3 linked regions of the Caenorhabditis elegans genome follow. The protein of the gene in region 3 purifies or fractionates together with the protein of the main gene of each other region. This does not show direct contact. Each region holds a gene or a part of one and is shown on either strand. Other genes may lie near its edges.

The links.
Region 1: the proteins of C29G2.6 (region 3) and ads-1 fractionate together in Caenorhabditis elegans (co-fractionation; one large-scale study listed by BioGRID). This does not show direct contact.
Region 2: the proteins of C29G2.6 (region 3) and usip-1 fractionate together in Caenorhabditis elegans (co-fractionation; one large-scale study listed by BioGRID). This does not show direct contact.

The regions. Positions count from the first base shown.
Region 1 is NC_003281.10:292,157-302,765, forward strand, and holds ads-1 (Alkyldihydroxyacetonephosphate synthase), read right to left. Parts: upstream 6,401-10,609; 5' UTR 6,376-6,400; coding exon 6,326-6,375; intron 6,276-6,325; coding exon 6,186-6,275; intron 5,737-6,185; coding exon 5,116-5,736; intron 5,053-5,115; exon of another isoform or gene 4,960-5,052; intron 4,690-4,959; coding exon 4,119-4,689; intron 4,070-4,118; coding exon 3,818-4,069; intron 3,768-3,817; coding exon 3,558-3,767; 3' UTR 3,498-3,557; downstream 1-3,497. Other genes in the region: Y50D7A.13 (Peptidase metallopeptidase domain-containing protein), read right to left, coding at 170-249, 309-449, 1,768-1,900, 1,951-2,047, 2,309-2,366; Y50D7A.1 (F-box domain-containing protein), read left to right, coding at 494-563, 7,404-7,485, 7,530-7,845, 8,443-8,589. UniProt on the Caenorhabditis elegans protein: Catalyzes the exchange of an acyl for a long-chain alkyl group and the formation of the ether bond in the biosynthesis of ether phospholipids.
Region 2 is NC_003283.11:12,181,001-12,190,359, forward strand, and holds usip-1 (U6 snRNA-specific terminal uridylyltransferase), read right to left. Parts: upstream 3,195-9,359; 5' UTR 3,176-3,194; coding exon 3,026-3,175; intron 2,973-3,025; coding exon 2,847-2,972; intron 2,799-2,846; coding exon 2,523-2,798; intron 2,465-2,522; coding exon 2,378-2,464; intron 2,332-2,377; coding exon 2,149-2,331; intron 2,107-2,148; coding exon 1,942-2,106; intron 1,896-1,941; coding exon 1,648-1,895; intron 1,599-1,647; coding exon 1,451-1,598; intron 1,405-1,450; coding exon 1,147-1,404; intron 1,093-1,146; coding exon 745-1,092; 3' UTR 501-744; downstream 1-500. Other genes in the region: elpc-3 (Elongator complex protein 3), read right to left, coding at 1-246, 291-410; srd-4 (G protein-coupled receptor), read left to right, coding at 3,949-4,136, 4,345-4,846, 4,892-5,245; ZK863.8 (UPAR/Ly6 domain-containing protein), read right to left, coding at 5,591-5,722, 5,822-5,938, 6,273-6,395. UniProt on the Caenorhabditis elegans protein: Acts as a specific terminal uridylyltransferase for U6 snRNA. Responsible for the addition of UTP at the 3' end of U6 snRNA which stabilizes U6 snRNA. Does not have activity towards modified uridine containing 3'-monophosphorylation or 2'-O-methylation.
Region 3 is NC_003283.11:2,579,630-2,590,646, forward strand, and holds C29G2.6 (dct-5 family protein), read right to left. Parts: upstream 6,280-11,017; 5' UTR 6,266-6,279; coding exon 6,143-6,265; intron 4,806-6,142; coding exon 4,737-4,805; intron 4,672-4,736; coding exon 4,551-4,671; intron 3,738-4,550; coding exon 3,593-3,737; intron 3,464-3,592; coding exon 3,313-3,463; 3' UTR 3,245-3,312; downstream 1-3,244. Other genes in the region: srt-4 (Serpentine Receptor, class T), read left to right, coding at 1-187; C29G2.3 (DUF5683 domain-containing protein), read left to right, coding at 1,279-1,369, 1,531-1,679, 1,734-1,940, 2,946-2,996, 3,044-3,244.

The sequences.
Region 1 (10,609 bases), on a different chromosome or scaffold from region 3:
ATATTTTAGTTTTCGGCAAATTGCTGATTTACCAGAAATTTTCATTTTCGGCAAATTACCGATTTGCCAGCAATTTTCGATTCCGGCAATTTGCAGATTTGCCGGAAATTTTCATTTTCGGCAAATTGCCGAGTTGCCGAAAAAAAAGACTTTTTCCAATCAAACTCACTCATAATGCTTCCTCATCACTGACGTTTTCCTTCTGGAATGCCTCAGCCCTAATGTATGACCAATTTCGTGAATAAGAACCTGAAAAATCGCAAAAATGTTTTAAATTCTGTAGTTTCCCCCAAAAAAACCACACCAACCAATCTCAAATCGATATATTTCGACGCCTCGCCGTCTTCTTCCCATCTCCTCGTGTGCCATTCCTCATCCCCATCCAAGTGTAGAACACCATATGGTGGATACATTGAATGAGCCACCACACCGCCTTTTCCGTCGAATTCCTGTGAAAAATTGAGTTTTTTTTTTGTTTTGCAGAAAATCTACGATGGAACCATCACCAGACGGTCAACTCGAGATAATCGCAAATTCAGGGGCAAAATCAGTGATTTGGGAAGGTAAAATTCAAAATTTTAGGTTCCTGGGGGTTTTATGGCAACGCGGGTTCGATTCCAGCAGTTTTCAAGCTTAAGACTCGATTTTCAGCAAATTTGATTGAAAATTCGGGTTAAATCTCATAAGTTTTGGTGGGAAAAGCACTGAAAATCTCAAATTTCGTGGTAGAATCGAATTTAAAGATCTAGGTGAAATCCATAAGTTTTAATGGCAAACCATTGAAAAATTCCAAATTCCGCCTAAAAATATCTCAGCTCAACAGTTTTTCGGTCCAAATTTCTAGTTTCAGCAAGTTTTACTCAAAATTCAACTAAACTTTCCACCGAAAAGCCGAAATTCGGATCTCAATTTGCAAAATTTGAAATTTCCGCCAAATTTTGAGCCTCTCCAACAAAAGCTCAAGTTTCTAAACTGAATTTTCTAGTTCGGATCCAAAATTCCGATTTCTGGCTAAAACTTGATCCGACTGAAAATCTAGATCTTTCACTGAAAATCTCAAATTTCGTTGTAGAATCGAATTTCAGCAAGTTTGGCTAGAAATCTAGGTGAAATCGATAAGTTTTAATGGAAATCCATTAAAAAATTCAAATCCCGCCTAAAAGTATCTCAGCTCAACAGTTTTCCGGCCCAAATTTCTAGTTTCGGCAAGTTTTGCTCAAAATTCGACTAGACTTCCCACCGAAAAGCCGAAATTTGGAATCATTTTGCAAAATTTGAAATTTCCGCCAAATTTTGAGCCTCTCCAACAAAAGCTCCGGTTACTAGACTCAATTTACCAGTTTGGATCAAAATTTTGGATTTCTGGCTAAAACTTGATCCGACAAAAAGGTTAGATCTTTCACTGAAAAACTCAAATTTTGTGGTAGAATCGAATTTCACCGAGCTTGACTGAAGATCTAGTCTAGGCGAAATCCATTAGTTTTAATGGAAAACCATTGAAAAATTTCAATTTCTGACTGAAAATTTCTTAGTTCGGCAGTTTTCCGGTTCAACTTTCGAATTTTACACTAGTTTCAGCGCTTTTGGCTGAAAATTTGGAGCATTTTCACCGAAAAAAACCGAAATTTGAACATTCCGTCAAATTTTGAGTCTTTGAGGAGCTCTCTCCAATAAAAACTCCGATTTCTAAACTGAATTTTCCAGTTTGGCTCCAAATTTCCGGCTCCTGAGCAGAATTTCTAAGTTTTAGACTAAAATTCGACCTACCTCGTAGCAAGAATGATTCTTTTTCGCGAAAAGCACCGTAATATCGGCTGCATCCACCACAGGAACCTCCTCGAACTCGACGAGCCCTTCCAAAGCGATCGCCCATCGTGCGACGGCTTCTTGTACGGTTAACCTGGAATTTTGAGAGAGTTTCATGGAATTGCCCCTCAAAGTTTGATCTACCTGACTCCCTGGAACTGATGGGCAGTCAGAAGCCGGAAGGGATCAGAAAATGACCAGGTGATCCTTCGGTGACTCCAACGGCGCAGGGTTCGGCATTCTGGAAGTTAGAGGATCAGAGTAGAAGCTTGGGTTGCAATTTTGAGCCGAGTGTGCCGGCAATGAATTGTGATTCAAAAAAACTTCAGATTTTCTGAATTTTATCAGAAATCTGTAAAAAACGAGTAAAAACTTGCAAAAACCCCGGAAAACTCCGATTTTTGACAATTTCACGAAGAATTTTGTGTACAGCACGATTTTCAACAGAAATTGTGACAGAATCTCTAATTTCTAGACTAAAATCTGTGGAAGCTTCACCTACCACTGACACGAAGATCTAGCAGAAGAATCAGCGGAACCAAATAATCGGAAAGTTTCATTTTTTGAAATCGTCTGCTTCTTCATCTGATCTCTTCTTCCTCGAAATGATAGCATAGTGGAGATATAAAAAACGAGGCAGCAGAAGAAGAAGAAGAAGCCGTTATGCTTCTCGTTCCTCCTCCCCCACATATGTTATCAAATGTTTTTCTCATTTTTCTCATCGTCGATGCATTATAAGATGTGTCTTGATAATTCCTGATTGTTTAATGAGAGAATCTCTCGCCTTTTTAATGGTCGTTGCGCAAGAAACCAGCTTCTCGGATGGGATAAGCGGTGGCGATTAGTTGAGAGAAGTCGTTGAAAAAGACAAACTATGGACGAAAAGTTTGGAGGAGAAGCTGTGATTGGTGGTAGAGTTAATGATTGATGGCCTGCTCTACAACTTTCTTTGATGCTTTTCACTTTTTTTTCTAAGTGAAACGTTTTTACTGGGATTCAAACTGGGAACATTTGCATTCTCAATCGAAATATGTGGATTCCTACCAAAATTGGACGTTGGCACGTGGTGCCAGATTGTCCCATGTTAGTTTGATCTACGAAAAGGACGGGAATTTTTTGCACAAGAAAATGTGACCAGCACGTTCTTCCCAGCGAAATCATTATGAGAACTCTGCGTCTCAAGCCCAAAGTTTTTTGTAGATATCCGTTGATCAAACCGAAATGGGACACTCTGACACCACGTGGACGTTCACACGTCCGATTGTCTCATTTTGGTTTGATCTACGTTGATCTTCAAGAAAGACGGGAGAAGAAATGCAGTTGACTTCTCAACTGATTTCGCATGGTTAAGAGCTTACGTCACATTTTTTTTTGGCAAAAAATTTACGCATTTTTTGTAGATCAAACCGCAATGGGACAGCCTGACACCACATGCGTTCAGAAGTCAAAAGTTGAGCTTCTAAACTGTGATTTTAAAGGAGTTAGAGCTAAATTAGAGCAAAGTTGAGCTGTTGAACGAAATGTTGAGGATCCAAACCAAATTTAGAAGTTCCTAGCTAAAATTAGAGCATCGAAATTCAATTCGGCAGGCGAAATACTAGTTTTTCTACAAAAATTGAATTTTCTGAGCTTTTGAGCTAGATTCCGGCATCTGAGCCAATTTTTGAGCTTCTGAACGATTATTTTTTCAAAAAAGTTTATTTCTTCAAGTTTCAAAATCCAATAATAATAAAAAACGAAACAATGATTATCTACAACTTGCAATGCGGTGATCCAATAATATCAATTAAGTTAGCACTGGCGAAGATGTTCGCCGGATCCAGCTCACTCTTGATAGCCTTCAACAACGCAATTCCGACTGCTCCGTTCGTGGTCAGCATCCATTGTTTTCTGATCTTTCCGACTCCGTGGTGATGTGAGATGCTTCCACCGCAAGCGATGATCTCGTCACGGGCGGCTGTCTGGAAATAAGGGCAATTCCGAGATCAGGGGCGTTTTATCGAAAGCTTACCTCAATACGATCATAAACTTCTAGGCCATTTTTCAATCCTCTGGCGTTGAATCCGAAATAGAAGTACACACAGGCTCCGGCATCGTAAACCTGGGTGACTCTGCAGTTCGCTAAAACTGGATGCGTGACTCCCTGAGCTTTTGCCTCGCGTTTCATCAGCTCCTTGACATTCCTGCAAAGGCTGAGAACCTTATCCCATGGAACTGAGGTTTCGAACGACTCGCCGAGCACACCATGGTTCATTCCAAGGTCCTGAAACGATTTAATTCAAAATTTGATCTACCCGTCGGCTCCAACTCACTCTCAAGTAGGCGATAGCAAAAGTAAGCCGATATCCATATTGACCATTCTCGGCGCCTCCGACAACTCCGTGGAACTGCTCGGCCAATTTATTCAGCCTCTCCTCATGCTGATCGACTTCTTCGCGATTTCCCTCATAGACACACGTGGCCGCACAAATCTCGTCGACCTTGAAACCCTTCCACGATGTGATGTACATCTTGCTCACGGAGCTCTTCAAGTCAGCCCACCAAGAATCTGAAGCCACCTTCAACGCTTGTCCCATAACGAATTGATCGTTGTCCATAAGACGAAGGGATGCTGGTTGACAGCGTTGAATGGCAACCTCGCGGAAGAAGTTGACTCCGCTCTCGAAGTTCGGGAACACGAAGCTTCCGAATCTCTTGACCTCTGGGATTGGGAAGATCTTGATTGTGACTTCGGACACCACTCCCAACGTTCCCTCGGACCCCAGAATGATTTGATGGATGTCTGGTCCGGATGACATTCTTGGGACTTGGCATTGCTTCTGGATGATTCCTTTTGGACAGACGAAGTTCAGATGGACGACGAGGTCTTCGATGTTTCCGTATCTGGAATTTGTTGTAAATTTGTACAGTATTATCGAAAAAATACGATCGCACAAATTTCTCATAATTCATTTTTGATCTACCTGTTGAACTTGACTCCGCCCCCCCCCCCCCAAACTTGTTGCCGTTGTTATTTTGTTATGGCTGTCTTGTCGAAGGAAGGGGCGGAGTCAAGTTCAACAGGTAGATCAAAAATAAATTATGAGAAAATTGTGCGATCGTATTTTTTCGATAACACGAAAGGAATTAACCCGAAATTTTGTGGTTTTTATGCCAAAAATACCATCGTGTCAAAACTGGAGTACCGTATTTGCGGACAGCAATACAGAAATTCGGGAAATCTTTGAGTTTTTCAACCGAAAATAGACAAAAATTCGAGTTTTTTGCTTGTTTTTTGAGTTTACAACTTGAAAAATCATAATAACCAACTTGTTCTTCTTCATTCCACTGGCTCTAGTCGAAACCCATCCTCCGAGAGTAGAAAATTCGATGGAATCCGGTTCATGTCCACATGTGAATCCCTTCTTGTTCAACTGACGCTCCAACGATTGCCCGACAATTCCAGCTTGAGCTCGGCAAGTCAAATTCTCTCGATCAATCCAGAGAATCTTGTCAAGAAGTGCCATATCCATAGAGATCACAGCTCGTTTTTCGGTTTCTGGGGTATCCAGAGCGTTTGTGACAGAGGTACCACCTCCGATTGGGATGATCGCGCAGTTATGGCTCATTGCTCCTTCGATGATCTTAACAATCTCATGCTCGCTTTTCGGCCAGACAACGATATCCGGAAGTCTCGGGATCTTTCCCTCTCTCAAATTGATCATGTCGTGAACTGTATGCCCATGACCTCTCATCAATCTGATTCTTGCCTCATTCGAGAAGGAAATCTTGTTTTCCTGCAGGAACTCAATGATATCCTCATTTTCGACAGGGGCATCGATGATCACGTCCGAAAGCTTCTGGGCTGGGCTTACGAAGCCTAGATCGATGCCCAAGTAGTTCTCGAACCACGGGCGGAAGTGTGGCATCACTTTTCCGGAGATTTCGTATCTGGAATTAGAAATTGATACACTCAAAATAAAAAAAAACTGCGTGGCGTGTACGCAGAAAACTCGAAAATTAGGCCCCGTCTTTTTCTCGTCTACTCACGGGAAAAGGCAAAATTCGGGACCAACCAATATCAGGCCGCCGACATCTGACGAGTTCCGCGCGCCGCTGCGCTTAACTCGCTATGGGCGTGGCGAGCTGTCTCCGCCCGCTGCGAGTTAAACATAGCAGCGCGCGGAATCCGTGAGATGTCGGCGGCCCGATATTGGTTGGGGTCCCGAATTTTGCCTTTTCCCCGTGAGTAGACGAGAAAAAGGCGGGGCCTAAATTTTGGGTTTTCTGCGTACACGCCACGCAGTTGTTTTTTATTTTTAGTGTAAGTTGGAGCTTGAAAATTCAACAAGTTCAGCCAACTCCCGGCTTAAATCTGCTCAAATCCCTTGAAATCTCACTTATCCCCGGTAAAAGTGACATGTCCGTCCTTGTTAATCGCAAACTGTGAATCGCTGTACCCCCAGCCATTCCACTTGAGGATTTTGTCGCTGTAAATTGAAATGCTTCAAAAAAAAAGAGTGACAGTGTAGGAGGTTACCGATAAGATTGCGGCACGTCGTGCTCGATTGTTTGATAGGACGCCGACATTTATTGCAAGTCGAGTGGCGAAGATCTGAATCGAACCGAGATCGTGAATTTCTGAGTTCGTGGGAAGTGGGGTTTCATACGGAACCTAAGTACAATCACGAGAAGCTTCAGGTGCTCAACCGATCATATGTTAGTTTAATCTTATCATGGTTGTGATTAAGTGTACCGGAGGCATGATGGTGGTCAACAATAGAATTTTCCATTTGATTCTCTAATTTTGTGGAAATTTTAGACTTGCAAAGCCTAAAAATACCTGAAAGCTTGGGAAAACTAGCTCTAGAAGGGGAAAAACTTCTACCTATAACGGAAAATAGGTAGCAATTTCAATTTTAAGCAGAAATACCAATTTGGCTGCTGTCAAAAGTTTGGAGACTGTGATGTCAGAGTGTCTCATTTCGGTTTGATCTACGTTGATCTACAAAAAAACGCGGGAGAATTGACGCAGAGTTCTCAACTTATTTGGCATGATTAAAAGCATGCTGACGTCACATTTTTTAGACAAAAAGTTCCCGCATTTTTTGTAGATCAAAACGTAATGGGACAGCCTGGCATCACCTGACGACTCCTAGAAACTGTGCGGAAAAAGTTGCCTTAATCGTTGAAAAGGCTTTAACTTAACATTTTGAGCATCAAAGCTTGAGACCTAACAAAATTTTTCAAAGAAAATGAGATTTTTTCTGAAAAAATAATCTTTGAACACAAAATTAGTCCAATTAGAGTTAGGCCAAAACTTAAAAAGAGAGAATTTTTCAACTGAAATTCAAAAATATTCAAAAATATTCAACAATAAACCCAAAATCAAATAAAAATCAATCAAACTCGCACTCCTCCGTACTTGCCTACAATAGAGCGTCGTGCAAGTGGTATATGTGTACACCTTATCACCTCTTTCTGTCTTCAAACCCCCCTCACTCACCCGCTTATCACCAACACAGACAAAGTACGCCAGCAGCAGATTAAAATCGTTTTCTTTTCCGCTTTCGAACAGGAATTGTCTTTCGGAAAAGCGAGAAGTTTCATATTTTCAGATCGAATCGCCGAGTTTGGTTATGAGAAATATTTTTTACGACTTCCGGAGCCAGCGCTGAACAAGGTTCTGCGATATTTGAGGTAGTCGGAAGCCCAGCTGCCAACTCCTAAATTCCAGATTCCAGATATCCCGACCTGCAAACCCTCAAATCGATATGCCCGGAGCTCACCGACTTGTGCGATTTACACGTGAAGCTCATGGATCACAGCGAGTTCTATACTCACCCTAAATTCCAGTTCGAGCGTTGCTCCCCGGATGATGAGGAGGAGGAGGTGGTGGCTGGAAGGATCAGAAGCCCCAGAACCTCATCGTCAAGTGGACAGCTGGACAAGGTTGCCGACGAGTTTGTGGTGAAGGATGTGGAGATCATGTCGGAGAGGCAGAACGCGTGTGCCACATATTTTGAGCCTACTAGATCGCTTTATCTGTTTGGTGGAGAGGTAAAATCGATGAAGATAGACAAACTTTGAGATTAAGCCGATTAAGCTTAGCGGCCTAAGCCTAAGGACTAAGCTTAAGGATCTAGGCTATTCCTAACGTTGGTTTAGCATTCTAAGCCTAAGGAGCTAAGGCTATGGACCTGCGGCTTAGAACCTAAGGACCCAAGACTATGGGCCTAACAAGGATCCTAGGAACTGTAGTCTCGGTACCTGAGCCTTTGGACCAAAGTCTAAGGAAATGAGGTAAACCTTAGGACCAGAGCCTATGAACCTGAACCTAATCAGCTAATCCTATTTTTCTAAGTCTGAGGAGCTAAGCCTTTGGCCTTGAGCCTATGGATCGAAGCTGTTTGTTCCAAGTTTTATTTTTAAGGGCTTCAGTGTATGGACCGAGGTCTGTGGAGCTAAGCCTACAGATCTAAGCGTTGCGATCTTAGTTTAAGATCCTAAGCCTTGAGACCTAAGTCTTTGGACCTAAGCCTTTGGACTTCAGTCTGAGGACCTAAGGGCCTCAGCCTATTCTCTAAGGTTTTTGATCCAAAAATAAAAATAAAAACTGAGCCAACAGTGTTGTATGCTTATCAATTTCTCTTCCAGGCCATCGATGGAGATGAGCATACCCCCGGTGCCGTATTCAATGACCTTTGGAGGCTGGACACGGCAACATTGAAATGGTCGCGAGTGATAATCTCATCTGCACCATATCCATCGGCAATGTGCTACGCGTCACTTGTCACGTGGGGTGTAAGTGAAATAAAGATGAGCAAAACGTGTTGTGCCACGTGGTTTCAGAGTGCCCCATTTTGGTGTGATCTACGTAGATCTACAAAAAATGCGTTCTCAACTGATTTCGCATGGTTGAGAGCGTGCTGACGTTACATTTTTTGGCAAAAAAATCCCGCGTTTTTTGTAGATCACATCGTCATGGGACAGCCTGACACAACGTCTTGTGCATTATTTAAGTGTAAATGAAACTCATCACTATTGGGAACATATATTACCGGTACAGAGAGAGTGTAGATTGTTAGAGAGTGACAGACATCCGGGACCCAAAGGGGCGGGGCACGGGAAGAGACGATTTGTGTCGATTTACAGAGTTTTCCTCGTTGTCATAATTTCGTAAATCGGCACAAATCGTCTCTTCCCGCGCCCCGCCCCTTTTGGTCCCGGATGTCTGTCACTCGCTAACAATCTACACTCTCTGTACCGGTAATAGTAAAAATTGTTATTGTTTTTAATATTGTAGTAGTAATTTAGTTTCTCAGGAACCTATTCGCATAGTTTAAATATGCATAGCACATCATTATTTGAGACATTTTGGCCCCTTCACCTGCAAAATAGCATTAAGGAATCAATTTTTCCGTGTTACAACGTGCTACATCGTGTTTGTGTTTCCGATTATTTCAAATATTGTCCATTGTTTCGTAGTTTGATGTTTCTTCGTTTTTCTCTAATGTTTGAACATCATTTTTCTTTTTCACTATTCAGCAAAGTCAGTTCCTCCATAATTCTGCCAAGCAGCCTCTAATAAATGCCGAGTGTACAGACTCCGCCCCTTTTTCGCGTTTTTTTTGGCTTGCGAAAAAATGTCCCACTTCGTTTTCATTCACAACTCCTGAACCGTGTGACTTCATGCTCTAATATTTGAAATCCTACTAGAAATATTTTGCCCCACGGTGGAGCAGAAAACGGCATTAAGTTCGGAGCAAAATTGAGCCCAGGACGGCTTTCCCCAGTTTGAAAAAATTTTTTGTTGCTCTTTTTACCCCCAAAAAACCATGTTTTAATTGAATTAAAATTCGGGTTTTGCTCTGTTTTGTTTCAAACTCATGTGCAAGATACTACTCAGAGAAACTGATTTTTTGAAAAAAAGTTTGAGTTCATAAGTGCAAATGGAAAAAAGTTGTGATAAAACAAAAGGCCAAAAAATGACATTTTGCCAAAAAAATTTTTTTTCCGAAAAAGTAGTTTTTCGTCATTATCTCAAGTTCTACTTCATCTTTTTTGATATTTTTTTTGTTCACCCCACGTACAAAAGTACGCTGAACACGATTTTCAACTCAGAATTGGAAAAAGCTCTATGAGTCGGCCGAGCAAGACGAATAAGTGCCACATTTTGCACACTTTCCCATTTTCGCGAATCTACTTTTTCCATCATAACTCGGTCAGTTTTCAAGTTTTCTTAGTTTTCTAAAAAATGACGTGTAGGTCTCATCAAGACGCATCGAGACATATAAAATTTGTAAAAAGTTCAGTGGGAAAATTTTTCAAGAAAAAAATAATTCAAAAATTTAGTACTGGGGGGAGTGGTTTCCTGGGTCTCCTGAACATTTTTTCCACTAAAGTTTTGCGGAATGTATTTTTGATTCATAGTTTCTGATTTTATTTGATGGAAGATGAAGTTTCGTCGCATTAGAAATACTCTGCCAAGAGATATTATTTTTATTAATTTTCAGGCCAAAACTTGTTTTTTTCTATACATCTGTCTGTGTACAAGATATAGCCCTCAACTGTACGTCTCCTTTTTGGGAAATCAATAATGAGTACAATCCTGTAATAAAATTTTCAAAAATTCGTTTTCCCGCTGACATATCAGTAATAAACGGTTTTCGAACGCCTTTTCTCAAAATGTAATTATTGAAGAAAGCGGAATCGAAAAACGACTCCCTCCAGAAATTTCCCTTCCCTACATCCCAGTTTTAGGTGTTTTCGGCATGGCCGAGTGGTTAGTGCGTATGATTGCAGAAATTTTGGTAGTTGGTTC
Region 2 (9,359 bases), 9.6 Mb from region 3:
ACTTTGTGTTGAATACTCGAAATCAGAATCTGGCCCACCGGGACAATAGACACAAATGTTTCCAGTGAAATTGATGTGAGGACAACGATGTGGTTTGCTCATCACTGCTACAACAGCAATTCCAGAAGCAGTTCGAACTGGTTTTGCCTTGAGTTTTGGAAGAAGGCTGTCTTTGTAATCGGACGGAACTCCAGCGATAATGTCAACGAGTTTCGGTTGAAAACTCAGTCCATTCTTTTGAGCAACCTGAAAATATTTATTGAAATGTGTTTTACCGCCTAACCACATACGATGCATTTCAGCCGATTCAAGTTGACATCCTTTTTTTGATTGTGAGCTTCAATAAGAAGCTTGACAATTTCATTTATTGTTTGTGCCAGTAGTGCTCTTTGTGAACCCTTCTGATCCATCTGAATACAGTTTTGATACATTTCCTATTCAAATTGATGTTTTAGATATAAATTGGAATATTAACCGACAATGAACTCAAAAATCGCTTTCAAGATGACCAGTGTATTTCAAACTTAGAAATTTCGATATACATAAATAGAACACAGACCGAGAAGTGATCATGAAAGTTGGGTGTTGAATATAATAAAGCGGAAAAATTATTTGTTGAGATTCAATGGAAAATGGTCACTGGGTGACGTGTCAGAAAAATACCGGAATAAATATGAAATAAAATATATGGTGGATCATACATACAAATCGAATTCATAGAACACTTATACATTGAGAACATGATTATGGCCAAGTTGGGGCTGCAATTGGAATCCTGGAAATGGTTTGAACGCCATTCTTCTCGAGGTCATCGTAGTTATTGTTAATGAATTGATCAATCAAAAAGTGGATTGCGTCGCGAACTTCGGAAACTTGACCACGCATTATATCGATGCATGCCAACCTAATTCTGGTGCCAGGAACAGTGCTCATCGAGATACGCAACTCCGCAATATCTTCTTCGTAATCGTACTTGTCACTGCACATAACATCAATCTGGAGAGGCGTCAAATCGTGACGAGAGTTTTTCAAAGCGCGTTTCGTATTGCGACGTCCAACCCAAGCTCTTGAAGTTACAAGGAAAATGGCACCCTGAAATTAATAGTAGTTGTAAACGTCACATTCTTTCTATTCTATAGAACTAACCGTTGGAGTACATAAATCAACAACACTGGGTCCTTGCTCATTCGGACAGACATTAAAGCGAAGAACTCTAGTAAGAAGGAGGAAAAGATCACTCGAGGTTATCACCACGGCTGGAAGTTGTACTGACAAGTACTGGTGCTCGGCTCCATCAGTTACTCTAGTTGATATACTGATTTTTGGCTCTCTGCTCTTCATAAGCATAGTAGCCATCGTGTTGGTTTCCAGAAGATAGTTGATGTGAAAATGATTTTGTTTCAACTGAAAATATAACTTTTAATCCATAAACAATCAAAATAATGCTTACAATGAAAAGAGCGTTCCGAATAAGACCATTTAGTAGTTTGACCGCGTCTTCTGTTACTTTTGCCGAAATATTATGAGTAATATCCATGGGATCCATCAACATCAACGGAGATTCTTCAACGCCTCCGTGCGCACTTGAGAGTGTTTTTCTAAAAAAAAATATACAAATTAGTTGTGAGAAATTAGTTTTTAACTTACTTTTGCATCGCTTTCTTCCCGTAAATCGCTTTGTTCGTAAAATCAAAGTTGGCATAGTATTTGAAAAGCTCTCGGAAAAACTTGCAATAATCGCCGAACAGAGTGTCAAAGTTGTATTCATTGACTCGAGAATCTCGCTTTGCTTGAGGATTCACATGAACCTTGTTGGTTGCTGCTTGAACAAAATGAATAACGAGCTGATTGATGATGTAAGAGTTCAGCTTTGTCTTGACTTCAAGCTTCTCTTCCTAAAATAATGAAGTTTAAGAACTGCCTAATTCAATATATAATTACCGGATAGTCACCCGATAGCAACTTATTTGATTTTGCCCAGTGTACGATGAACATCATTGCATTTTTCATTCTACTTCCCTTCGACTTGTCTTTTACGATGAATTCATGCAACAAGCTCGCCTTCTCAACACTGATTTGATTGTGAACTGATAGATCGTATGACACCTGAAATGAATGAATTATCAATGTTTGAAAGCGTCAACATACATTCATTCCTTCCACTTCGATATTTTTGAAGACTATGATTGGAGTGCGTGCAGGTAAGAAACGCATCTCGAATTTAGTTTTGAATGCACTGTTCTCGTTGAAGCACCGGTAGAGAATTTTGATAATTTCCTCTTGTGGGTATGTCTCAAGCTCCGATTTGGTTAGTGGATGAGTGATGAGACACTGTAATTGTATATTGTTTCAGGACAATTTACAGTAATTTTTGTACCTTTGGATTTGCCACAACTTCGTTCAATGGTCTTACATTTGTAGAAACGCGTTGACCTGGAGCGCTGACTGATTCCACGTTAATGTCCTAAAAACATTATTGTTTCTTAATAAAATAAAATAAAATTATTTTTCTAACAACTTACAATGTCTGAGTAACCATTTCGCCGCACCGGTGATGCAAAAGAGCCGAACATCTCACAAGCAGAATTTTGAATGAGCTCAGAAACCCCTTGTTCAATGAAGGAAAATCCATCTTCGAGAATTTTTAAGCGTTCAGGAAGTTCTTGACAGATAGCCATTGTCAACACTTCCAAAAGCTCGTCGTTATTGAAGTGCGGTTGCGAAGTTTTCATGAAATCAATGGCATCTTGAAGTCTGAATCCGTTCAAGCCTAGAAGGGGAGTGAACACGATTTTCGTCTGAAAATAAAAGGAATTGTATACAATCAGCTAAAAATAATTATTTACATTGTTGATTGCAAATCCTTTAGCGATGGAATCGTGGCAAATCCTGTTGGCTTCATCTATTGATTCCATTTGCAATATCATAAACTGATCTTGATCTTCAGGTGTTGGAGAGTATCCTATTTTCTCCTAAACGGTTTAATTTCAAATGCTTGTTTTCACAGCATAACAATATTTTTTACCTTACAACCAAGTTTATACTCAACCGACTCCACGAAGACAACGACAGCAATTGCAGAAGGAACCATAGCTGTCGTATCATTTCGATTCCAACGAGCAACAACGAATTGACGACTATCAAACGTTTCAACCAGTTGCAAGTTTGAAGACATTATCGCATAACTGAAATATCTGGAAAAATATATAATTTTAGGTAAACAAAGAGGATGGAGAATGGAATCATGCGTTGCCATGGAATCGAATACACTAGGGAATCTTCGTCGAAAATTCGAGCAAAACAATTTTCATTATAATAAACAACACATTGCATTTTGTTATAGGTTACAAATTAATTGGAACGTGCGCATTCAGGGATTTAAATTTTGCGTTTATCAGAATAATAATAAAAAAAGAGTAACAAATTTTAAATAGATTCGCGCAATAAAAAAGTTTTTCGAAAAATGACTGAAAAACTGAGTTGATAAACTACACGCGCATCGTTATATCGGAGTGTCGTAAGTGGCGGATTTTCAAATAAATTTTTATTGACAAATTTTAGTTGTGGACCTAGTACTAGTATGTATTTGTCTAGTAAGTTTTCTCTGCATTGCCTTTCTAAAGGGAAAAAGTTGTTTTTAAAAAAAATTATTAAATAAATTTTATAAAATTGTCTTAGAAATTATTTGCATTGATTGATCAGAATCCTTCTAATCAACCAAAACTTATGCCTGCTTAAAAATTATAAACATCATTCCATAAACATCGGTCTTTCAAAGATTGAATTTGAATTAATAATATTTTTTATTTGGAATTGAGTTCGTCTACAAACGAAAAAATAAACGGAAATTCGATTCTGATTGCTGGGATTCGAATAAAAGGACAAGCATAACATAAATCGGAAATCGAATTTAGTATATAAATGTAAAAATATCAAAAATGTACAAAGATGTTCCTTTTGGTTATATTTATTCTACACTATGTGCTCGCTTTTCTCGGAATTGTTTTCAATACGATTTTGATTTTTCTAACTTTATTCAGAAGCCCTAAATCTATTGGAACATTTTCTATATTATTGACTGTCAGAGGTGGATCTGATGCACTTGCTTGTTTTTTTGATATTTTCAGTCAATCAAGGTAATTTCCAAATTTTATTTTGCATTTCCTAGCAATGCACCATGTTCTCGATATGCTCTAGTTTCTTCCAATAATGTCAAAATTAAGCAGGGCCGTTTTCATGTTTTCCACGCTTATATATAATTCATGAGATTACACTTTCAAAAAAGAACCCAAATTTTTTCTTTATACTCCAATGGCGAGTTGAGCTATATATAATTAATTTCAGATTAATCCCAAGTGGTACAACACTTGGAATTGCTTCAACTGGACTTTGCAAATATCTCAGTGAATGGTCTTGTTTTCTGGGTTTCAGTCTTCAACTTCATTTTCATTCATATTCTTTTCATCTTCTAATTCTCTGTTTTATATTCCGATGTTATGTTCTTCTGGAAAGATATCCAAAAGCTAAACAGCTTATCATTTTAATTTGCATTATATACTTCCCATCATACTTGCAAGCAATTTTCGTATTCATTGATAACAACAAGCCAGAAGATGTTCGACAACTTATTCAAATTCATCATTCTCAATATAAATTACAAGATTTTGTTATAAATGGACATGCTGATCTTCGAGAATTTCCGTGTTTGTTTTCATATCTTCTAATGCTTATTCCAATTATCCCTGGATATTTGATTATGTATGGGCTCCGCCGAAAAATACACTTCAAGTTACGAAATGCAATTCTCCGTCCGGAAATTCGAGAAAAACATAGACAGCTGACTTGGGTTAGTCTGAAAATGTAAATTATTTTGAAATATGATTTATTGCAGGCACTGACAGTTCAGACTATTGTTCCAATTGCTTTTATATTCTCATCAATTTGTTTCCTACTTGGTCAGCTGAGGATCGTTGAATCTCCAGTTCTTGAAAGTTTCACACTTCTTTTTGCCGTTTTGGTTCCCGTTATCAATCCATTGATTACCGTTACTTTTATCAAACCGTATCGAGAATCTGTCATGAGAGCAGTTGGAATTGATCCTAAAATTTTGATTTTCATGTCACGAGAATGTTCTGTTGCACCTGGTGATACAAATTCTTCAATGTTTGGTAGTTTTGATAATTCATCAGTTGCATCAGTTACATCAAAATTCACAATTACATTGGAGAAAGGCACATTTGACTGAATATTCCAATTAAACTTTTTAAAAAGTATTTTTCATCCACCTTGTGAAAACGACTCATTTGATCTCAGTGATGATCATGTTTTCTATTTTATAAAAATTTTATTGGATGAACTTATTATTTACATTTGATTTAAACAATTATAAGGACACTTGACACATGAATTCGATTTTGATTATTACTGTTTGATGTTCGTTCTCCGGGAAGAAATGAGCGGAATGAGAAGAAATTGGGTCATTGGTTTTAGATTATGGATACAGTAATAGAGAGCCAGATGAGCACCTGAGCACAAGTTGAAAATTGAGGAAAGAGTATTTTAAAATTCAAAGACCAAAAATGAAAGAAATTTAATTTTTGAAGAAATAAACGGCAAACAATGTCATAATAGAGACAGTAAGTTTAACGAGTGATGATGAATTGCAAAGATCTCCACGGCAACAGCAGGCCTTATCGGTGTTAGTTCCAACGCATCCATTTTGCTGAAATAATTAGTAATTTGATAAATATGGTTTTCTTTCTCAAAATTAGAATTTCTCTGAGCCAAGAGATGAATTCCACAGGTAAAAATAAAAACTTACAATGCAAAGGTTAGAGGATCCACAGGCTCTTCCTGAGACGAAAGTTTTGTCATTGTTAAAATCTCTGGATTCCAAATAGCTTTTGTAACAATATTGAGCGTCAGCTGGGCAGTCGACCTATAAATATTGGCATGAATTATTTGTTTTGATGAGCTGGAAGTTTCATTTTTATTTTCAAGCCAAGATGTCCACTTTTGGCACGCAGGTATGTCAGCAGGCGTCCGTGCCTGCATATCACCTTGAGCTCTAGCGAGTTTATACAGTGATAATTTAGATTAATAACTTTTTTTCATCTTTAAAACCGGATAAAGTTTGAAGCTAGTGGCGTTCAAATAATGAAAAATGTTCTTACTAATGGGCTATCATAAGTAAATTCGTGTTTTTTCAACTACTTCCAGCAATATGGATAATTTGACTATTAACTCATTGCTTATCTCGTTTAAAATCTTACCCATGTCTTCATTGGATTCTTCATCAAATTGGTGCTTGTGTAATCATGGCACCGAAGTGTATCGGCATATGGGAAAATGCAGAAAAGAGCAGAAATTGTGAAAATAGCAAACGACGAGGTCATGGTTATAATCGACAACGAACTGACTGTAATGTAAAAGTAAAATAAAAGATTCAGAGGGGTGGGATTATTGGGTAGGTCGTTGACTTCTCCACCTCTTTTCGTTTGTTTGTTTGCGCAGCCTGTAAATTGTAAACTTGTAGGTAGAGAAGCAAAGGTAGAGGAGGAAAAGAAAATAGAAAAAGAGCGAAATATTTAGAGAATCTCCGCAATCTGCCAAAAGGTGTGAAAAGTAGAGAACAAGGCGAATAATGTTGATCTTCTCAATTATTTGCGTATTACTCATTGGTTGTCAAGTGTACCGGGTCATTTTGGCATTTTTCATCGGACTTTCAAGAACTTTAAAGGGAAGTATCAAGAAAAAACGAAATATACAAAAAGATGGATGATGAGTAAACAAGGCATTTGGGCAAGAACTTTGAGACAAGCAAAGAGTCTAAAAAGTTGCGAAACAATTGTTTAGTGAACGTTGTAGATCTGTTAGAAGTGTTTTTGTAATAAATATTTAGCTTCTTGATCATATTTGCGGATTTTTAAAAATTCAAAAACAAACTTGCCAAATAACTATTTGTTGCAAGTTACGTAGATAAAAGTAGTAATGACCTCGTTGGCAGCAACTTTTCATTTATAACTTGGCATTGAGCTATCTAAAAATAGAGTTGGCACACTTCTTTAGTTTTGTTATTTGCTAAATCAAAAGCTTATTCTGACTCAAATTATATCAACTTCATTTTAATCAGAGACTGGAATCTCACTTACATCCAATTAGATCAGATGCAACATTGTATATGTACGATGCGTTTTTATCGAAAACACCAGTAAAGAATTTCTGATATTGGAAGTAATATTGATAAAGACTGAGAAGTCAAGGTTTGAAATCTCGTCTGAAGCGAATATGTCAAAATTGTTTAAATTTTTGAAAACTGGAATTAAAAATTCACACAACAACTTTTTTAAAACTTTCAAATGTCTTGAATAAAATCTTAAAACCTGCAAAAAATGATGACAAAACTATTTTGAGTTTGCATTCAATAGTTTCAATGAGTTGTTTTTCACAAGATTACAGTTGTATTTACAATCAATCAAATGCCACGTAATGGATGAAAAATTTAGAAGGTCAAGAAAAGATCATTGTAAGTTCATATCAACATTTACTTTTTTGGCACATTTTTTTGTTTGCCAATCCCAATGAAAAACCGTGTCATGCTTGGATATGAAATTGAAAAGAGACTTGGCATTGGAAAAACTACTGCTCTTCAAATTGTTTATTTCAAATTTCGTCATTTTTCTGGATCTTTTTTTTTGTTTTTTTCACGAGTAAAAAACAAACAATTCGGAGAAAAGTTCAGACAACAGTCTACTATTTTTGTGATCAAATTTTGTAGATTTTATTTATTTGTTCAATTATTTGTAGACCAAGTAAAATGTTTTCCAGATACCAATTGTACATGTATTCCTAATCACATTAGAAGGTTTTCTATCTTTTCCCCTAAGCCACAAAAATAGATCAGTGCTATCACGAGAGAACAAACAAAATCAGCCGCCGATATATATTGAATTTGATTTATCTGCGATGGTGCTCCCAAACATTTACCATCGACTTTGTCAGGTTGTCAATAAAACTGTTTTAATATGAAAGTAACTGAAGAAAAACGAGAGAAAAAGAGCACATGAAATTTGGATTCGCGCGTGCTCACGCGTTGAGCAACAATTTTTTGTTTGCTGATATTCTTGAAGAAAATGAAAAAGTAAGAACACAAGTTTGTTCTGTTAAATAGACATTTGGACAAAACCTGATTAAAAATACATTGTCAAAAAGACAAGTGGCGCGCAAATTTTGATCTTTCATTAATGTATAGACTTTAGCAAGTATATAGACTCTAGCTTGAAATTGCTGAAACATTGTACAATGATAAAATTGAACTGTAAAAACTGACAATGGGAAATGGTTTCCAAAATTTTCAGCGGTGAATATCGGTAAAAATCTTCATTATTTTTTTACATTTTTTTTTCAGAAAATATAGAGTTCAATTTTTTAAACTGCAATGATCAAAAGTTACATCTCTGTAATTAATATGAAAATGCTTAACTAATGTCTGTTGCTTTTTCACAAAGAGATTCGTTCCAGTTTATGTTGTTTTTTTAAGACATATACCGAACAATTTTAAATGTAAGGTATCGACAGTTTGATCAAATTTTGGTAAGTGTCAGTTTGATTTTTTGAATAAACTTCTAAACGAAACTGCCTTTCTCAAGCGAAACTTTATCAAGCAAATGACCAAAAGGAGAGTAATTAGACAGTTTTAACGGTTCAATATTAAAACGTAAAAATTTTCAAAAAAAAGTGAGATGAGGATGAGGGAAAAGTTGAAAAGTTCCTATCCGTTAGTAATTCGATACTTTAACTTTTCTACTAAACGAAAAAATGAGAAGATGTTTGGTGTATTCTGCTTTCAAAAATTGTGTTGTAAGCTTTCGGGTAAAGTAAAAGTAAAGTGGGTTATGTATAATTCATCTCTAAAAAAGAGGTTAAATTTACAATGAACACCAGAATTTTTATATTGATTGTGCACCGTTCGGATTCTGAAAATTAAAGAAATTGACCGAATATTTTTAGAGAAAATATGATTCAGTTGTAGTTGTTTTGTCAAATAGTCAAGTAAATGATACAAATCCAGAAAACTCCAATTACCAACGAACAAGATATTCCAACAAAAATTGTTTTATTTACAGTAAAAAAGATAAGGAAAAAGAGTTATCTAAATCTTAAGGTACATTGACCAAAATTTTATGTTCTAATTATGTTTTCATTGTTTTAACTTAAACTTAATTTAAACTGTTTTAATTTAATTGTAGGGATTCGAATATTCGAGACAGCTCCAAATTTCTTGACAATCCCAATTTTTCAAAAGTTTGCCAATTTACCAAAACTTCACAAACAAATTCAAAAGTGTCTTATCTAGATTT
Region 3 (11,017 bases):
GACTTTGAATCGGACGATACGGAACTCTGTTGTCAAAATGATTTTTCCCAAGAAAATGCGATTATATTTTGGCTGGTACATTGGAACCGATGAGCACGTGGCTTTGGAGCAGGCGGGGAATACGCTGAAAACTGCTGGAAATGCAGTTGGAGTTGGCATCAATTTTGATAGTTATTTTCAGAATTGATTGAATATAGATTTTTACATGTTCAATATTTTCCCGAATAAAAAACATGAAATTTTTTTTTGGTTTTTTTTTTAATTTTCGGAAATCTGAAATTTCGGCAATTGTTGGTTTGTGGGAATTTGTCGGAAACCGGCAATATTGCTGGTTTCAAAAAAAAATTTGGCAATTTTTGGCAATTACGGGATTTCGGATTTTCGGCAATTTTGGCAATTTCGACAATTTCTTGTTTTTTTTCAAATTTTTGCCAACCGGCAATTTCGACAATTTTGGCAATTACTGGTTTTGATTTTATTTTTTTTCGCAATTTTGGCAATTTTGGCTTTTTTTTTATTTTTAGTAATTCGAGACGGTACTTTTCCGATTTCTGCCCCCCAAAATGTTTTCGAAAATTTCTTTTTTGAAACGTGAACTTTTTTTGTAATTTCAGGCTTATAGTAAGCCTAAAAATTGAAATACTATTGAAATAAACATTCACGTGTGAATTAAATTAAATTAAAAAATTGAAAAACATTTTTGGGGGGGGGGGGGGGGCAGAAATCGGAAAAGTACCTTCGAGACACTTCGGAAATTACCTAATTTTTTTCAGCTTTCGACAATTGCTGATTTCTTGAATTTATCAGAAATCAGCAATTTCGGCAATTTTGGCAATTTCAAGTTTTGATTTTTTTTTTCTCGCAATTTTGGCAATTTGTTGATTTTTAAGTTTCGGCAATTTCGGCATTCCTTGTTTTTTTTGGCAAATCGGCAAGCGAAATCTGTTTTTTAATACACTTTTTTGCAATTTTGGAAAAAATTTATGACAACGTGTACCTGGCCCCATTCCTCACCTCACTAAAACGTATTAAATTCATCAATAATTTCATCAAAAATACATTCCAAGGCTTCTATAGAATATACCTTGCTAGAAAGATAAATATTTGTGACGTCAGAGTAAAAATGTCTCAAAGGTGTGTTCCTCTGCCAAACATTTGACCAAAAAAAAAGCAAAATTTGCAAGATAAATAACGCATTTTATTATTTTACAACTATTTGATATGCCGGGAAGTTGAGTATAAATGCTTGTGAATATTGCTGCGTTTTCACAGAAAAAAATGAATTCCAAAAAAATGCAATTTCTCGTCGGATTTCTTCTCCAGCTTCAGCATCCCGCACTCGTTTGGTCATGCGGATCTGATATTTCAGGTTTGTTTTTGGAAAATATTAGGTGTTTTTTAAGTGCAAGGTAGTCATAATTCATGCGGCCGACACCTTGCGGGTTTTGTAAATTTTTTAAAATTGTTCCCGAAAGGTGTCGGCCGCAGCAATTTTTGATTCCCAGTAAATTCAAAATTTGACATATTCAGGTTCATCATCTGCCACTTCGGAGTTTGGTATTTCATTTTTTGCACCACTTGCCTATACGTACCCTCCAAATGAAGCTGACCTGTTTCCCGGGCAATCTTTAACTGTTGAGCAAGCAAGTCAAAAGGTGAAAACGGACTTGGACTTGGCTGTGAGTTATCGGTTTTACAAGAGGAATTATTTTAAAGAAAATACCGTTTTTCAGATATCAAAAGCTCTAACTGTCAACCAGCTTTACCTCTCAACACCTCCAACCGTCAACTTTACATTTGTCCCCCAAAAAGTGCAAATTGCCGACGGAGAAGTGTGTTTTACCGACGGAACAAGTATCGCAATTTCTGGAACAATTGTCTATAAATGTTCAATTGGAGGTGGAAGTACGGTAGCGCCGGTTTCTGGAGCCACGACACAGGTAAGGAAAATAGGCTTTCATGTAGGTGTCAAAATGCCTGCTGCGTCTGCCTTGCGCAGCAAGCCGCGCCTTCTGTATAATACGGCGCGGAACCCGAATAGTATCGGCCGCGTTGAAAAAAAACCATTTTTCGTATAGCGTAGTATAAACACCAAGCCGCTGACTTCTCGCCATAGTGCGAAAATGAGGCGAGAGACCGGCTTAAGGTCACCAGGTTTGAGGCAGGCTTCAGCTTATGAAACCGCACCTGCCTACCCTGGCAGCATTAGGCGACAGTTGGCAAATTGTTAAAAACGTGCCGAAATGGTGCCGAAATAACTAAATATCTTATGTGTTTCCCTCTTATAAAAATCCATCTAAACACTTCCGGCAAATTGATATCAGGCAAATGGCAAATCGGTAATTTGCCGGAAATAAATTTTAAAACGTGCCGAAATGGTGCCGAAATAACTAAATATCATAGTAAAACTTATCAAGAAAATTTTTAAATAATTTTTTATTTACTGTCAAAAAGTGGCAATTTCTCAGTTTTTGCCGCTTTTGGAGTCGACCAAAAAAGTTTTTTCCACCGATTTTTATACTTTAATTTAATTTAATTATTTGTGTTGAGCAATTTTAGGGGACGAAACATACGAAAAAAAATTGCTCAAAAATTTGGCAATTTGCCAAAAAAAAATTTATTTCCGGCAAATTACCGATTTGCCATTTGCCTGATATCAATTTGCCGGAAGTGTTTAGATGGATTTTTATAAGAGGGAAACACATAAATTAATGGAAAATCTAAAATTTTTTGAAATGCTTTATTATAATATTCTGTTGCCAAATTCGCGACAATTATTTCCGGAAACTTCCCTAGTTTTTAGAAGTTTGTGAGGCTTTCCAAAATTAAAAAAAAAGTTTTTTATCAAGAAAACTCCAGAAATTTCTCTAAATTTCCAAAATAGTTGTAGTATCCCTACCGTACCACTACAGTAACCCGCCACAATCCTCCCTCGAATTTTTCAGACCTTAGCTCCAACCACTGTGGCAACCACTACTAAATCCGAGGAAGACATTGTAAGCTGATTTCATCTGAAAATCCAATAAACTCTATACATTTTCAGCGCTTTAAACGTGCTCTACCGCGAGAACGTGCCGCTGCTGGGGTCAGTGCTCAGCCGTTTGTTCAATCAATGACCGTAACTGCAACTGCAAGTCAGCCACTTTTTGAGAATCAATGGAAACAAATCGGGCGGTCCGTTCAATCTGCGCTGGAGGCTAAGAAGCTGTTGTTCAACGATGAGATTTCTGTTAACTTGCTTTGAATTTTTTTTCTCAAAAAATATATGTACAATTGGAAAATTATGTAAATCAACAATAAATCAAAATAACTCTATCCACTGTGTCCTCGTGTTTTTCCATTCTTCTCGAACCGGTCGGCAAACTTGGCGCGCACAATTTCGTGGAACATCTCGTAGCACGGTCCTGAGTAGCCCTTGATTTTCTGGCGGAAGTTTCCGGCCGCGCACATTTGGTTGAACACTCTGAAAAGTACAAGTATTGCGATTGGGTAGCGGCCGACACCTCCCCGGTGTCGATTTCTATAAAATGTGCAGCCGCGAGGTGTCGGCCGCTACTTAATATAGTTTTTGAGATTTTTTTGTCCAAATTACCTTGTAATGAACCCTGAGCACTTTGGGCAAGAGCCATCGAAACAGTGGAAAGCACAGTCCTGTCGTAGGCACTTATTGATTTGGAAAATGTCTTGATTCGATTCGGCAACACATTTTAAGGCACAGTCCATCAGAGTGGGACATTCTGGAATTTTTTTAATTTTAGTACATTTTAGTCTTACATGGCCAAAGATCTTAATTGCACTATAAAAAATTTTAGATTTTTTTTTAATTTTCAGGCAAGTTTTCGGCAAATTTCAACATTTTTGGAGAATTTTTTGCATAGGTTCAGGGTTTTGAGCTTTTTTAATACATGTAATTAATTCCTAAAAAGAATATGAAAAGTTTTCTCAGAAAAATTTGAGTTTCCCACCAAAATATTTTCTCATAAAAAATTGAATTTCCCGCCAAACTTTTTTTTTCTCAGAAAATTTTAATTTCCTGCCAAAATTTTTTTCCACAAAATTTGAATTTCCTGCCAAAATGTATTTTTCAGAAATTTTGAACTTCTTGCCACAACATTTCTCAAAAAATTTGAATTTCCTTCCAACAACTTTTTTCTAGAAAATTTAAACTTCCCGCAAAAAAAAATTCTCAGAAAACTTGAATTTCCCGCCAAAAAATTTTGTCAGAAAATTTGAATTTCCCGACAAAATATGTTCTTTAAAAAATTGAACTTTCACCGAATATTTTTCTCCAAAAATTTGAATTTCCCACCAAAATATGTTCTCAATAAAAATTAAATTTCCGCCAAAAAAATTTTCTCAGAACATTTTAATCGAAACAATTTTTTTTCTTAGAAAATTTGTATTTTCCTTCAAAGTTGGTTCTCAGAAAATTTGAATTTCCCTTCAAAGTTGGTTCTCAGAAAATTTGAATTTTCATCACCCTTTGAATTGTCGGCCGCAAAGCTAACTTCCAATCAAAAAATCAAATTCGGTCCACCCAAAAAACTGACCAGCCGACGATTTCTCTCCCGACAAAATGTCGACGATTTGCAGTTTGGACGTCAAACACAACGGGCAATCGTTACACTCGTCCTGGCAACCAGTGGTAAAAATGCAACCATAGTCCGTATACTGCAACAGAAAAAAATAGGGGTTTTGGGTGTGTTCAGCGATAATGAAGACTTGATGATTGATACCTTATCAATATCGTCGTACATTTCCGCAGAGATGTTCTTGCCATCGACTAGCTTCGAGAGAACGGGCAGCTGAAAGTTTGCTAATTGGGAACACCCAAAAATCAATATATGTAATACCAGACGCTGACCGCGCCTCCGGCGCATCCAACTGGCTGGAATAAATTTCAAATACCCCTTGAAAATAACATTGAAATTTTGAAATTAATTTGATTTTTTTGAAAATGAAAACTTTCAAAGTGAGTAATTTTGCGTGTTGGCATAGCCTACATTGGACGGAAGGAAACTCTACTTTATATATAGTAAATGATGCATAATTGTTTATGTGGTTTGTAGTTTGTAGTTTGTAGTTTGTAGTTCGTAGCTTGAAGTTTTTCAAACTAGTTATATCTACTGGGAAACATAAAAATGATTTCCTTATTTTTTAGTTTGAATTTGACTAATCTCGTGATCTTGAACAGTTTCCGAGTGGTTATTCGCCCAATTGGTAATAGATTTGTGAAATTGTTTTGCCATGATTTTTGAAAAATCAATTTCCGAGAAAAAAAACCGAATGAATCATAGCAGAACGTAGAAAACAAAAAGTTAAGTTAGGTATTGCTTAATTAGGTAGACTCAAAGTTTTACAATTTCTTGCGCCAAAGATACAGTCCCGGGTTTCGACGCGACAAATTGTTGATAAACCCAAAGAGGTGTGCGCCTTTAAAGAGTATAGTACTGTAGATTAAAAATTTTGTTGTTAAGAAATTTTCTTGAATTTTGAAAGTTATCAATTTTTATAAAAGCCATTTCATTGTTTTTTAAACAAAAATTTTAAACAAAACCAAATTTGCAAGAAAACTAATAAAAATTCCACCTCAATGAGAATTTTAAATTACAGTAATCTTTAAAGGCGCATACATTTTTGTATGTAACACAAATTCGTGTCGAGACCGGGAACCGTGTTTTCACAAAATTTTGCATAGACATGCTCCAAATTACCAAGCATGGGCCTAACAACCAAAATTTCAATTTTTTAAAAATTTCGATTTGCTCTGTGGAGCGCGTTTGCATCCCTCTGGAAGCTGAACCACCATGTTTGATCTCCCGAATTTGCGGGAATTAAAAAAAAATTAAAAAGTGTTTGATAATCTTGTTTAATTCTTTCAAGCTATAATTATACAAGTCTCTAGTTTTTAGATTGATCTACAATGTGCGCTGAAATAAGTTTGACGTCACATTTTTCAGAATTTTAAATTCCCGCCAATTCGGGAAATCAAACATGGTGGTTCAGCTTCCAGGGGATGCAAAGACGCTCCACAGAACAAAGCGAAATTTTTACGGTTGCAGCAGTTGCACATCAAATGTTTCTAGATCCTGTTCTACCGTGCGAGAGGTCCTGGATTTTGCCGGCTGCGCCCTATACTTACATTCACACATTTCTTCTGAATTGAGCACTGCAACAGATCCCTGCACTGTTTGTTGAGATTTGACACGCCAAGAGTGGTGGAGACTGCCAAAATTGAAAACGCCAATAAAAAGTCGGTTATCATTTTTTGTTGCTCCCCTGGAATTGATAAGCGCTACATTGAAGCCCGGAATTTTGATTTTTTCAAAGATCAGATAAGGTGATAAGAAGGTGTGAAAATACTTTTGGAAAAGAATGGGACTAGAACGAAGTGTAACGATGACAAAATAGTTTGAAAATTTTTGGTGATTTTTTGTTTTTTAATGATAAATGCGCTACAATGAAGGAAATCGGAAAATCAAAAAAACTTCCGAAAATAGCAGGAATTTTTTTGTCTTCATCTAGAAGTTGATTAATTAAAGCTGAGCCAAAGCCTAAACCTAGGGCTAAGCCTAAGCCGGAGCCTAAGCCTAAGCCTAAGCCTGAGCCTAATCAAAAATCAAAAAACTGGAAAATCCTAAGCCTAAATAGCGTCAGTAGCTGGCTGACGCTCGCCACTGACGCCAAGCTTGATCCTAGGCCTAAACCTAAGCCTATGCCTAAGCCTAAGCCTAAGCCTAGGCCAAAACCGTTTTTCCAAAACTTTTAACCGCAATAATAATTTTTTGAGAAATTTTCAGAACATCTAATTACAAAAAGGACTAATTTCGGTCTAAAAAATCTAATTTCTGAAAAATTTAAACTGGATAAAAACAAATTCTAACAAAGTAAACAGCCCGTATTTAAAAAACAAAAAGGAACTAAAATGAGAAGAGGGAGGTTCACCTGGGGATTTTTCAATTTTTTGAAGAGAGAGAAAAAAAGAAAACAGAAATTTCCGTAAAAATGAAACAAAAAAGACGGTAGACAGAAGGAGAATGTTTTCGTTGATGGGTTTATCACAATGTCACTTTGGACTTTTTGTTTTGTTTTGTGAGTCTGTGTGTGTGGAAGTTAATTTGATACTGTTCTCCTGATATACTTTGCTGTGGAGTTTAGAAAAAGGAAATCGGATTCCAAAAACTACTTAGAAAATTGCCAAAATGACCAAATATAATAGTAAAACTTTTCAAAAAATTTTTTGAAAAAGTTTTTAAGGAGTCATAAAAAGTGGTAGGTGCCATCATAATTTTGGAAATCGCCCAAAAAAATTCTATTTGAAAAAATAATTATTTTAACATTTGAATCATCGGCAAAACGGAAATCGGCAAACCGGCAAAAAATTTGCCGAATTTGCCGGAAAAACTGCAATTGCCAGAAAATGCGGAAAATTGTGGTTTTGCACTTTTTTTTTGGAAATTTTTTAAAGAAAATTCAATGAAAATATCTAAAGAAAACGGGGAAAAAAATTTTAAACGGCACAGTTTTAAATGTTTCCGCCTTATAAAAAACCCTTTAAAAACTTCCGGCAAATTAATATTCGGCAAACCGGCATATTGGCAATTTGCCAAAAACGAGAATTTTCGGCAAATCGGCAAACCGGCAATTTGCCGAAAACAAAAATTTCCGGCAAATTGGCAAACCGGTGATTTGCTGATTTGCCGAATTTGTCGAGAAAAAAATTTGCCGAACACAATTGCAGTCCACCCCTAATTTGAATTTCGAAAAATGCTTACAATATGCAATGAAAATGTCAAATTAAATTGGAATATGGCAAAGACAACTTGAATTTTAAAAAATAAGTACACACTTCAAAATTTATAAAATTCGGTACTTATGGGTTTCGTTCCCCCCAAAATGTTCATTCAATTATTTAATACTGGATTTTTAATTTTAATCCACACGTGAAAGTTTATTTTAATACTGTTTTCATTTTCAGGCTTAGGAAACCATCTTCCTAAGCCTGAGAATGAAAAAAAAGTTCACGTCTCTATTAAAAACTATGGAAAACATACTGGGGGAACGAAACCCATAAGTACCTAAAATTCATATAATAATTTTTTTTGGCTGACTTCTAAAACTATGAGACTGATTTTCTTACCATTTTTCGGGTGCATATAAAATAATTTCAAATTTTAGTAACATATTCGTTGTATTAATAATTTTTTCCTTTCAACGATCGAAAAAAGCCGAACAATTTTATTATTATAAGTTTTTGAAAATTTTCAAAATTAGATATTTTTGCACAAAAAAAACTAGTTTTAACGCTTTAATATTTTCGAGCGCAAAACTCCAGGAACAGCAAAAAAAAATAACAAGTGATTGCATAAAAATACAAGAATCCGTCGGATATGAGTGAGAAGATAAAAATGGATATATTTTCTTTTCATTAAAGATGGCAAGAGAAACAAGATTGCATAACAAGTGGGCGCCTGATGTTTTTCGGTTGAAAAAAAAGACGGGAGGATCCAGTCTCTCATTGTGATCATTATCAGAAACACGACGACATCTTGCACGCGTTTCACGCCTTTTACGGGATCGATGATGAATGAGAGATGCATGGAGGGACGGCGGAGAGAGAGACCAGATATTGCAACATTTTTTTTTTTGAAATTATTTGAAACAAGGAACTGAATATTGAGTTTCTAGCATTTTGAGCTAGGAAAGTGTAGAACTGATATCTTTCAGATAATTTTATTCTGATCGAAAAAAATTAAAAATTTTTTAAGCCTAGTGTTTCAGATTTTTTTAAAAATATTTATCAACTTTTATAGGAGCTTATCAAATCAATTATATTGCCAAAAAAATTATTTTGTTTTAGAAAATGATTGGGGATTTCGGTCCTCGCCTAACCTAAGAATATGTCTAAGACTAAGTCTTAGCCTAAGCCTAACTAAGCCTAAATAGCGTCAGTAGCGAGCTGACGCTCGCCACAACCGAAAATTTGCAGTTTGCAACTTTATAACAATAAAGTTTTGAAAAAAGAGCTGGCGTAGACCAATCAGCAAATTACACGGTCGCCGATTGGTGGGCGCTAAATTTAAAATTTAAATACTGATGTATAACTAGATTTCCATATAAGTCAAAAAAAAAATTTTTCTAAACATTATACTACATTAAAAAACTACATTAAAAATTTGCAAAGTTTGAAACAAAAATTAAAAGCGCCAGAAAAATATTTTCAATTCAGTTTGAACGACTTTCTACTGCAAAAGTAAAATAAGTTGTATCTATCCGATTGGTTTTTTTTATTTGAACAAAACTTCTGAACGAATTCTTGTAGGCTACAAATTAGAAACAATGTTTCTTGGTAATGGGTGTACTTTAGATTCAAAATTTTCAGAAGGAAAATAAGGTTTTTGTTATAAAAAAATCTCCCACAAAATTATTGCATTTTAATGAAACATACAGAATTTCTCTAGGAATAATTAAGCAAAAATCATTATTTCTTTTTGTCTAGATAATTGCCTTTGTGTGTAGTTTGGTGATATGCCGATTCGGTTTTGGAATCAACAAAGGAATCAAGGTTGACTGTTTGGCGTTTTGATCTATCTGATTGTATAATTGGAAAAGTTCAGAAAGTGAAAAAAGAATAGTCAGAATCACATTTTTACGAAAAATTCAAATTGTTTCCAAACCAGGGGCTTGCGGCAAATTTTTTCGAACTTCCAGGGCACAGCAAATTTCAGAAAATGGATTTTGAAATTTGCCGTACACACCCCAAATTGGACAAAAAATGGCTCAAAATATTGATTTTGTTCCAAAAAATTCAAGTGAAACAACATAAAATTGAGTTAAAGTTTGAATTCCAATAGTTTCCCCAATAGTTTTTCGAACACTCTGAAAATGAAATTTTTCAAATTGGCAGAATTTTTAAAGCACTTTTTGATAGTTCTACAGAAATTTTGATGCATTTTTAAAATTTTAAACAAATTTGGAAAATTCTACAAACATCTACGGGTATAAAATATTTTCAAAGTTTCTAGAATTTTGTATAAAGCGCTCTCTCATCTCTGCATTGTCTCTGCACATGTCTATATCCTTGGATGGTCCCTCGATGTTTTCACACAAACAAATGTCCCCTTTGCATATCTTTTATCGTCGCGCACTCTCTCATATATAAACTCTCTTTTCACCTGTGTCTCACAGTCGGCATGTGACTGTAACGTTGGACCTACCACTACTAATAACGAACATCGACAGTTTTGCATTTTCGGAATTAAACACCCTAACAAATTTTCTGTTTTTGATAAAATCTGATTCCGAAAATTAGGGCTTCGATTCCGTCATATAAATTTAATTTTGATCTACCATTATCATCATTTGATCTACCCACAAATTTAGTTTTGATCTACCTTTGTTGATCTCCCCGCGTATATTTGTATTTTACTTTCCTTTGATTCCCCGCGTATATTTCCCCTATCCAAGGCAATGATTAGCTCATGCCTTGACTTTTCTGCTGGCTTCAGTGACAGTTTACCCCTTTTTTTTTCCTACTTTGTCTTTTTTCCTACTTTGTCTTTTGCCTCATATTTCTCTCTTGTTCCCGCCTATTAGTATTCTAATAATATATGTTCTACATACTCTCACTTTCATAATTCAAGCCGAAAAATTATTTTAAAACATCGTTTTTCATTCAAATAGTGTTTAACATTTAATTTCCAGACTCAGTTCTCAACCACAAAACGAATTTTTAAATTTTCAGGGTAATCACTCCCGCCGAGATGCACACGACAGGAAGTATAAAAAGAGCTGTTGAGAAGGCAATTGCGCTTGTCACTCTCAAACCTGGTGATGAGGAAGGTGAAACCGTTGTTGATGAAGAGTTTTATGATGTGGGAGATGATGACCAGACGAAAGAAGAAGACGATGTAGAAGATTCAGAAGGAGAAGAAGACAATATGGGAAAAAAGGTGAATGGGTTCGAGGAGGGAGACGATGATTTTGACGAAAATACGACTGTGGATGAGCAAGACAA